Linked DNA regions of Caenorhabditis elegans. The protein of the gene in region 2 interacts with the protein of the main gene of each other region in a pairwise test. Each region holds a gene or a part of one and is shown on either strand. Other genes may lie near its edges. The genes, in order: rpsa-1 and ndx-4.

Evidence for each region.
Region 1: the proteins of ndx-4 (region 2) and rpsa-1 interact in a two-hybrid assay, tested with the Caenorhabditis elegans proteins (one large-scale study listed by BioGRID).

What each region holds. Positions count from the first base shown.
Region 1 is NC_003281.10:4,752,181-4,755,851, reverse strand, and holds rpsa-1 (Small ribosomal subunit protein uS2), read left to right. Parts: upstream 1-1,800; 5' UTR 1,801-1,805; coding exon 1,806-1,938; intron 1,939-2,010; coding exon 2,011-2,273; intron 2,274-2,320; coding exon 2,321-2,422; intron 2,423-2,469; coding exon 2,470-2,802; 3' UTR 2,803-2,845; downstream 2,846-3,671. Other genes in the region: rbg-3 (Rab-GAP TBC domain-containing protein), read right to left, coding at 22-164, 210-443, 487-983, 1,035-1,143, 1,190-1,233; B0393.8 (uncharacterized protein), read left to right, coding at 3,482-3,528, 3,573-3,671.
Region 2 is NC_003279.8:13,792,118-13,796,449, forward strand, and holds ndx-4 (Bis(5'-nucleosyl)-tetraphosphatase [asymmetrical]), read right to left. Parts: upstream 2,036-4,332; 5' UTR 2,024-2,035; coding exon 1,793-2,023; intron 808-1,792; coding exon 622-807; 3' UTR 522-621; downstream 1-521. Other genes in the region: ccct-1 (Coiled-coil and C2 domain-containing protein 1-like), read left to right, coding at 1-48; Y37H9A.5 (uncharacterized protein), read right to left, coding at 4,182-4,203, 4,274-4,332. UniProt on the Caenorhabditis elegans protein: Asymmetrically hydrolyzes Ap4A to yield AMP and ATP.

The DNA.
Region 1 (3,671 bases), on a different chromosome or scaffold from region 2:
TTTATCGATTTAACAACTTACAAAGATGTCTGATCTGAACTAACAACGAAACAAACATGCATTTGGCTAATGGGGCAATTGGCCGATCAATCAGAAGTACATCCCATAGAAAAAGCAAATCGTGTAGAGGAAGTTCTCGGCCAAATAATAAGCGAAGCCAACGACTGTAAATATTTTAATTAAATATTTTCAAAAATAAAATAACTCACATTCCATAAAGTTGTGGTGGTATATCAAGAGTACTAAGATGTTTGGCAAGGGTGGGATCGATTTCGTGTAGAAGATTTCCAATATCAATTAGATCTTCCATCAAACGAGATGCAGGAGCGGAATCTTGCACCCTCATGTACGGTTCCTTTGGAATTGGACGCTTTGGACTCTCAGTGACTGTTGGTTCTTCATACCATCTTGATACTTCTAACATCACCGAACAAAACAGATTACTAAAAATATATTATCAATAATGATTGAAATTTATTCACTCACTAGCTATCCTGTTCGAGGTATTCTTTACAAAATAAGCAATTCAAAATATCTTCTTCTTCCACCGTTAGCATTTTCAACTCATCATTCTCTTTTGCATGTTGAAATGCTTCATTGTCCGAATATATCACGAAAATTAGCGGTGCCAGAATTTCGTGCATTCCTTGACGATAATTTACAAAAGGATGCTCCTTTGCATAAACCAAAAGAATATCTGACATCATTTGCCGAATACTTGTGTTTTGAAAGAACTCAATTTCCGGAAAAGTTCGTGAAACATCTTTGCCGATAATGTCACGAAGATCATTGTCCTCGAAAAATGTATTCCATGGATTTTGCTCAATAGAGGCAAGTGGATTGTTGAATTCAGGATCTTGAGAAAACTTTGTATCGTGTGGGTCAATTAAATGATTTTCCTTGTGAGCTCGGTAAAGATTCCGACTACGTGATAAGCTTATTTCCCAATCACTTGTTTCATACGGCAAACATCGAAGAACAAGCTGTAATCAATTGACTTTTGAAGACTAATTTAGAAATGCCGAAACTAATACCCTCCAAACAGCTGATCTACATGAAGATGAACGCAAGGAGCCTGATGCAGCGACTCTTGCTAGGAGATCATCAGAAAGCTTATATTTGATTAGTGACGTCGCATCAAAGCTGAACACATAAATTCTTTAATATTTTATATCCCCATATTATGCACCTGAGAGGAATGAAGAAATTTGCTGATACTCCCGGTGAATTCATGTCTTGATGGTTGTGCGCATTGTGGTAATATCTGAAAAATTTCGAAGTCAGTTTTCTGATAAGGCAACAACTAATAAATTGAGAATCAATTTACCCTTAAGGAACGATGTTCGCTTCTGAATTTATTAATAAATTTTTCCGTAATTCAATTCAAAATTGTCATATTTAAGAAAAAAACATCAAAAATGACAAATTCAATATTTTAATTAATTTTTGCTTTCGTCGTAAATCTACACACGCGTCTCTTCCGTGCGAGAGTCCAAGCCAGCAGCCAAATTCGTTGACTGAGTATTCAACGTTTATACGTTGTCGGCAACGAGAAATAGGAAAATGCATCGGGAAATGTTCTTTTTTCGATTTTTTCCAAGGTTTTGACAAATTTTACCACGAATTTTGCTATGTTTTCAATTAAAAAATATGTTATTCAACTGTTTCTATGAGGAAAATAAGGCTTTGCATGTAATTTTCTTATTCAGCATAATTTTTAATTAATTTGAATTTTCTGTCCTAACGTTTATTTTGTTTTCTTGGTTATGACTGATCTGAAATTAATTTTTGAATTTTAAGGTAATATGTCAGGCGGTGCCGCTCATTCCGCCCTCACTGAGGAGGATGTTATGAAGCTTCTTGCTACCCAGGCCCATTTGGGATCCACCAATCTTAACTTCCAAATGCAGCAATACGTCTACAAGAGACGTTTTGACGGTTAGTTTAAAAAAAATTCAATTCATTTTTCTTGTGAATTATTTAATAAAATTATAACAATTATCATTACAGGACCAAATATCATCAACGTCAAGAAGACCTGGGAGAAGCTTCTTCTCGCTGCCCGCGCTATCGCCGCTGTTGAGAACCCAGCTGATGTCGTCGTTGTTTCGGCTAGACCATACGCCCAGCGTGCTCTTCTCAAGTTCGCTGCTCATACCGGAGCTACCGCCATCTTCGGACGTTTCTCTCCAGGATGTCTTACCAACCAGATCCAAAAGACCTTCAAGGAGCCAAGACTTCTCGTCATCTCTGACCCACGTATCGATCATCAGGTAAGACTTTTCTAAATAGTTGTTTTTTCTAATTATTTAAAATTTAGGCTGTCACTGAGGCTTCCTACGTCGGAGTTCCAGTCATCTCCTTCGTCAACACCGAGTCTCCACTCAAGTTGATCGACATCGGAGTTCCATGCAACAACAAGGTATATATTTAATTTATAAAAAATGTAAATATGTATTTGAATTGTAGGGAGAACGCTCAATCGGACTTATGTGGTGGATGCTCGCTCGCGAGATCCTCATTCTCCGTGGAAAGATCTCCCGTCAAACCGGATTCGTCCTCGAAGGAAAGGAAATCATGCCAGATCTTTACTTCTACCGTGACCCAACTGAGACCGAGAAGGAGGAGACTGGAGCTCACGCTGATGTTGCTGAGGCTCAAGAATACCAACAACCAACTGACATCGACTTCACCACCCAAGGAGGAAAGGTTGACGATTGGGCCGCTGAGACCGCTACCTGGACTGCCGAGACCAAGACCACCGAAGAGTGGGCCAACGCTCCAACCCAGTCTAACTGGTAATCAATTTGTTACAATGTTGGTTCTTTGAAATAAACCTTGTTAACTATGTTATGAGGTTATTGAACAAATTTATATATAAGAAAAGTCAACAGTTATTAAGACCATGTACAGGGACGGCGAACGTTTTAAAGAATTTAATGAATATTACTTGTGCCAATAGACGAGATTAAAATCGTAATCCCATTTTCCTCTTATGTAAGCTTTCAAAAATTACAGTAATGGGATGATGCAAGTGAATTTCTCGTCATTTCTCGACAATTTTTTTGCAATGCAAGTGTGCGGAGAAATGACGTGAAATTCGCAATTTCTCCGCATTTCTCGACATCCACACATACCGTAGTTGGTGACGTTGTTGGCGGCAAATCGCGGCGAGACCCGCTGTGTCGATTTACGAGGATATATCTAATGTTAGTTTTTCGCAATAAACTTGGTTTTTCTGTCGTTCTTGTTCAATTTTCGTGATCTTTTCGCAGTTTTTACTCTTTTTCATGTATATTTATTGAATTCAATATCGTACTTTTCAATTCTCTGCGCAGTCAAACGTCATTTTTAGTTTTATAGCTATTTTCGGTGGCTTAAAGAAAAAAAATTTAAATTTTCCTTTTCAGAGCTCGATATTGCTCCAGTCTGGAAATGATTTGTTGATGTCGTCAGCGCGATGAATTCCGTCACATAAAATATGTACAAAATCGTCAATAACGATCAGAACAAGATATTGGTCATCGCGTAAGTTCAAAAAGTGAATAGCTGGATTATGAATATAATTTCAGAAAGTCAAATGCTCAATCTCTGCGGAAGACTTTTCTACACTCGTGCCTTCCGAAAATGTCGCTCTCTCAGCCTTGGTCGCATAGTTTTGAAATCTGTCA
Region 2 (4,332 bases):
GCAAAAGCTCAACATATTGCCCAGAAATGGCTCATTTTAGATAATTAAATGGATTCTTTCTACTTGATTCGATGTTTTAAATGTGTTTTTTTTTGAATATAATATAAATATTTGGTTTATCGGAAGAGTTAACGACTTTTTAATTTTTTCAGAGGAGTAACATTTATATATGCTGAATTTAGAAAAAAGTGGCAAAAATGGCAAAAAAAACGGCAAAAATCACAATTTTGAAACTTCTCTAAAATGGTTATTTTTTAAGTTAGAGGACTCAAAATTGATCTCTAAACCTTAAAAAATTGCCCTTTTTCAAATATTGATGGTTTTGTACGTTTTCAGAAAAATTATTTTTTTGCCTAAATTAAAAAAAAGGACAGTTAGAGGACTCAAAATTGATCTCTGAACCCTAAAAAACTTTTTGAAATTTTCGAAAAAAAATCTGTTTTATCAGGCTCTGAGACAACACGCATTCATTAATAATTACGAGCATTATATTTTTGATAAAGAGAGAGCATCATGAACAATTGTGTATGAAAAGATTTATATTAAATAAAAAGTTTACATTAAATAAATAAATGAAAATTATTTTTTTTCGAAAAATATGAAATTATCGGTGAAAAATCGTTAAAATCCGGCCAAAAAAGCGGAAAATTTGCGGAGAAGGCTGCCCATTTCAGCGTAATCGGCAATTTTGATAGCATCTTCCAATTCACACCATTTCCAATTTTGATGTTCATGAGATAGTTGAACGTCGTCTGGATTGTTGAGCTTGGCGAGCCAATATTTCACTGATTTTGGCTTCCCTTTTGCCTGTAAATTTAGCGAAATTTGGGATTTTTTTTAGTGTTTAGTTCAATTTTCAAATGAAAAATCGATTTAAAAAATATGTAAATTCGCTGAAAACCCAATTTTTTATCGATTTTTTCTTTCAAAATTCGGAAAAATTGCGTTTTTTTCCAGAATTTTCCCGGAAATTTTGCCATTTTTCCTAAAAATCGATACATTTCACAAAACCAAAAAAAAAATTTTTTTCAGTGTAAAAACCTGGAAAAAATTGAATTTTCAGGGTCTTGTGAAAAAAAAATCAATTTTTTTTACAAAATTTACGAAAAAAGGAAATTTCTTTCGTTTTCGCCGGTAAATATCGATTTTTCTATCAGAAAATCGAAAAATCCCGAATTTTCCCAAAAAAAGCTTAAAATGGATAAGTTTTCCGAAAAAATCGATATTTTCGTGTTTTTTTCCGCAAAATTGCAGAAAAATTGAATTTTTGGTGAAAAATCGGAGATTTTTTTCAAAAAATTTTTCAATGAAAATTTAGTTTTAGAAAAATCGATAATTTGTTGATTTTCTAAAATAAATTATCGATTTTTCCATTTAAAAAATTCAAAAAAATTCAAAAAAAAAAAAAATTCAAAAAAAATTTTCGATTTTCTATTTAAAAAATCGATAATTTATTTTTTTTTCGAAAATTCGCACAAAATTATCGATTTTTCGGGTTTTTAATCGAAAATTTCGAAAATATCGATTTTTTTTCGAAATTTTTTAAATCGATTTTTTATTAAAAATTCGAAAAATTCGAAATTATCGATTTTCGCAGGATATTATTTAATTTTTAATTTTTTCGATTTTTCCATCGGAAAAACGATAATTTATTGATTATCGAAATTAAATTATCGATTTTTTCATTAAAAAATTCGAAAATTTTGAATATATCATACTTCGCCGGAAATTATCGATTTTTCCATCAAAAAATCGATAAAAATTATCGATTTTCTTACACACACACACACACCTCATAAAAGAGTGTTTCATGACAATCTTCATGAATTGTCAGTTGCTCTTTTGTAATATTAGCTTCTTCCTTAGTCTCACGAATTGCCGCCTGCCATTCATCTTCTCCTGGATCCACGTGACCTTTTGGTGGGGTCCAGTGATGTGGTGGATAGGAGGCTTGAAGCAGGAGAAACTCGATTTTTCCCGCCAACTTCCGGTAGATCACAAGTCCCGCGGCTTTTACGACCATTTTTTGTTGGCGCTGAAAAAAACTGGATTTTTTTTTTTAGAAAATATCGATTTTTTGTTAAAATTGGATTAAAAAAAATAGGAGCACACGACAAAAAGCTCCAAATTTTGAAAAAAATTAATTTTAGGCGTAAAATGGCGGGAAACTCGAAATTTTGATCAGAAAAATCGGAATTTTTTTTCAAAAACATATTTTCGGTAAACTTTACGCTGAAAATTTCAAATTTTCGAGTTTGGTGCTCCGAACGCAACTCAGCGCCCCAGCAGAGCCGAAAAGCTGCTCTTTGGGCTTCAAATCGGAAGTTTATAGCTTCCTATTTGGAGCTCACAGAGCAAAAGCTTCTCGGCGCTGCTGGGGCGGTTTTGTGCAATTTTAAGGTGAAAATTTGAATTTTTGACTGAAAAATCCAATTTTTTTTGGCAAAAATTGAGAAAAACTGAAAAAAAAATTCGAAAAGGACGTTTAGACGGCCTAAAAATTTTTTTTTCGGTGAATAATTGGATTTTCCTAAGAAATTTTGCTACAAAAATTAAAAAAAAAAGAATTTTCTGGTTTTCTAGAAAAAATATAGAGAAAACTTCTAGTTTTTTTCAATTTCTGCAATTTTTATAGACAAATTGATTTTTGGAAACATTTTCGCGTTTCTGAATTACTAAAAAACATTTTAAAAATTAGAAAAAAATTTTGGAGTACTGTAGCTCTAAAAGTACGTCAAAACTGTAGCTTACAAGAAAATGAACCAAATTTCGAAAAAAGTTGATTTTAGGGGTAAAAATGGCAGGAAATTCGAAAATTAGTTTAGAAAATTTCAGAATTTTCCAGTTTCTGCCACCGAACGCAACTCTGCGCCCCAGCAGAGCCGAAAAGCTGCTCGTTGGGCTTCAAATCGAAAGTTTATAGCTTCCTATTTGAAGCTCACAGAGCAAAAGCTTCTCGGCGCTCACGTGTAGTCAAGCTGTCTCATCGGTGTTTTTCGGTGTATTGGCCGCAAACACGCGGCGCATAAATTGACGCGCAAATGCAGACAAGCGGGCAGGATTTACGAGAGATTGTGATTTTTATTTTATTTTCTTTCATTCCTTTAAAATATAACTTTTTGTCATTTTTAAAGTTAATTTTTTGTTGAAAACTGGTCTATGGACCACCACGAACTGGAAAAGCATTGTTAGCTCGTGCAGTTGCTCATCACACTGAGTGCACATTTATTCGAGTTTCCGGCTCCGAGTTGGTGCAGAAGTTTATTGGAGAATAAACACGAATGGTAAGTGGATCGACATAATAATCTTTACATTTACAATGCTTTCAGGTGCATGAAGTCTTCGTGATGGCTCGTGAGCATGCTCCATCGATCATTTTCATGGATTAAATCGATCCAATCGGACCAAGCAGAGTTAAAGAATCTAGTGGAGGAGATTCGGAAGTTCAGAGAACTATGCTCGAGCTGATCAATCAACTCGATGGATTTGAGGCAACGAAGAAGAGTATTAAGGTAGGGAAAATGCAAAAACTTTCTAATTTCTAAATATATATGTTCAGGTTATCATGGCAACCAACCGTATCGACATCCTCGACACCGAGCAAATTCCTGGAGCATCGGGAGCCGAAGTCAAGTCAGTCTGTTTCGAGGCTGGTATGTTTGCGCTCCGTTAGCGACGTATTCATGTGACACGAGAGGATTTCGAGATGGCTGTTGGAAAGGTTATGCAGAAGGATTCGGAGAAGAATGAAGAATATGTCCATTAAGAAGAAGAATATGTCCATTAAGAAGTTGTGGAAATAAGGATACATTTCGATTTTTTATCAATTACCCCCTTTTCACTGATTTTATTGTAAAAATGAGCCCCATTTATTTATTGAAATTTAATTCCCTTCACTCGTCTTCGACCAACCTACCGAGCACTTTTTGCTGAATAAATAATACAATCTGGATGATTTATTCGAGTAAAAAAATCTAAATTTTTATTTTTAACATGAAAAAGCATTTATTGTTTCCCATATTCGTCGGAAATCTCTCCATCTTTGTGCATTGAAATGAGAATATCACATCCGCCGACGAACTCTCCCTTCACATAGACTTGTGGAATTGTTGGCCATTAGCTGAAGATTTTGACGCCTTCTCTCAGCTCCTGATCGGTCAGAACGTTGTAGTCTTGGAATTTTACATTGTGGAAGTCGAGAACCTGAAACGGAAATTTGATTTTAGGGATTTTCGGATTATTATAAAGAAAGATCCCCGGATCTATATCTAACCTCGAAGCGGAGGTTCTTGATGAACTTGGCGTCGACTTCCTTCTATGGAGAGGAAAATC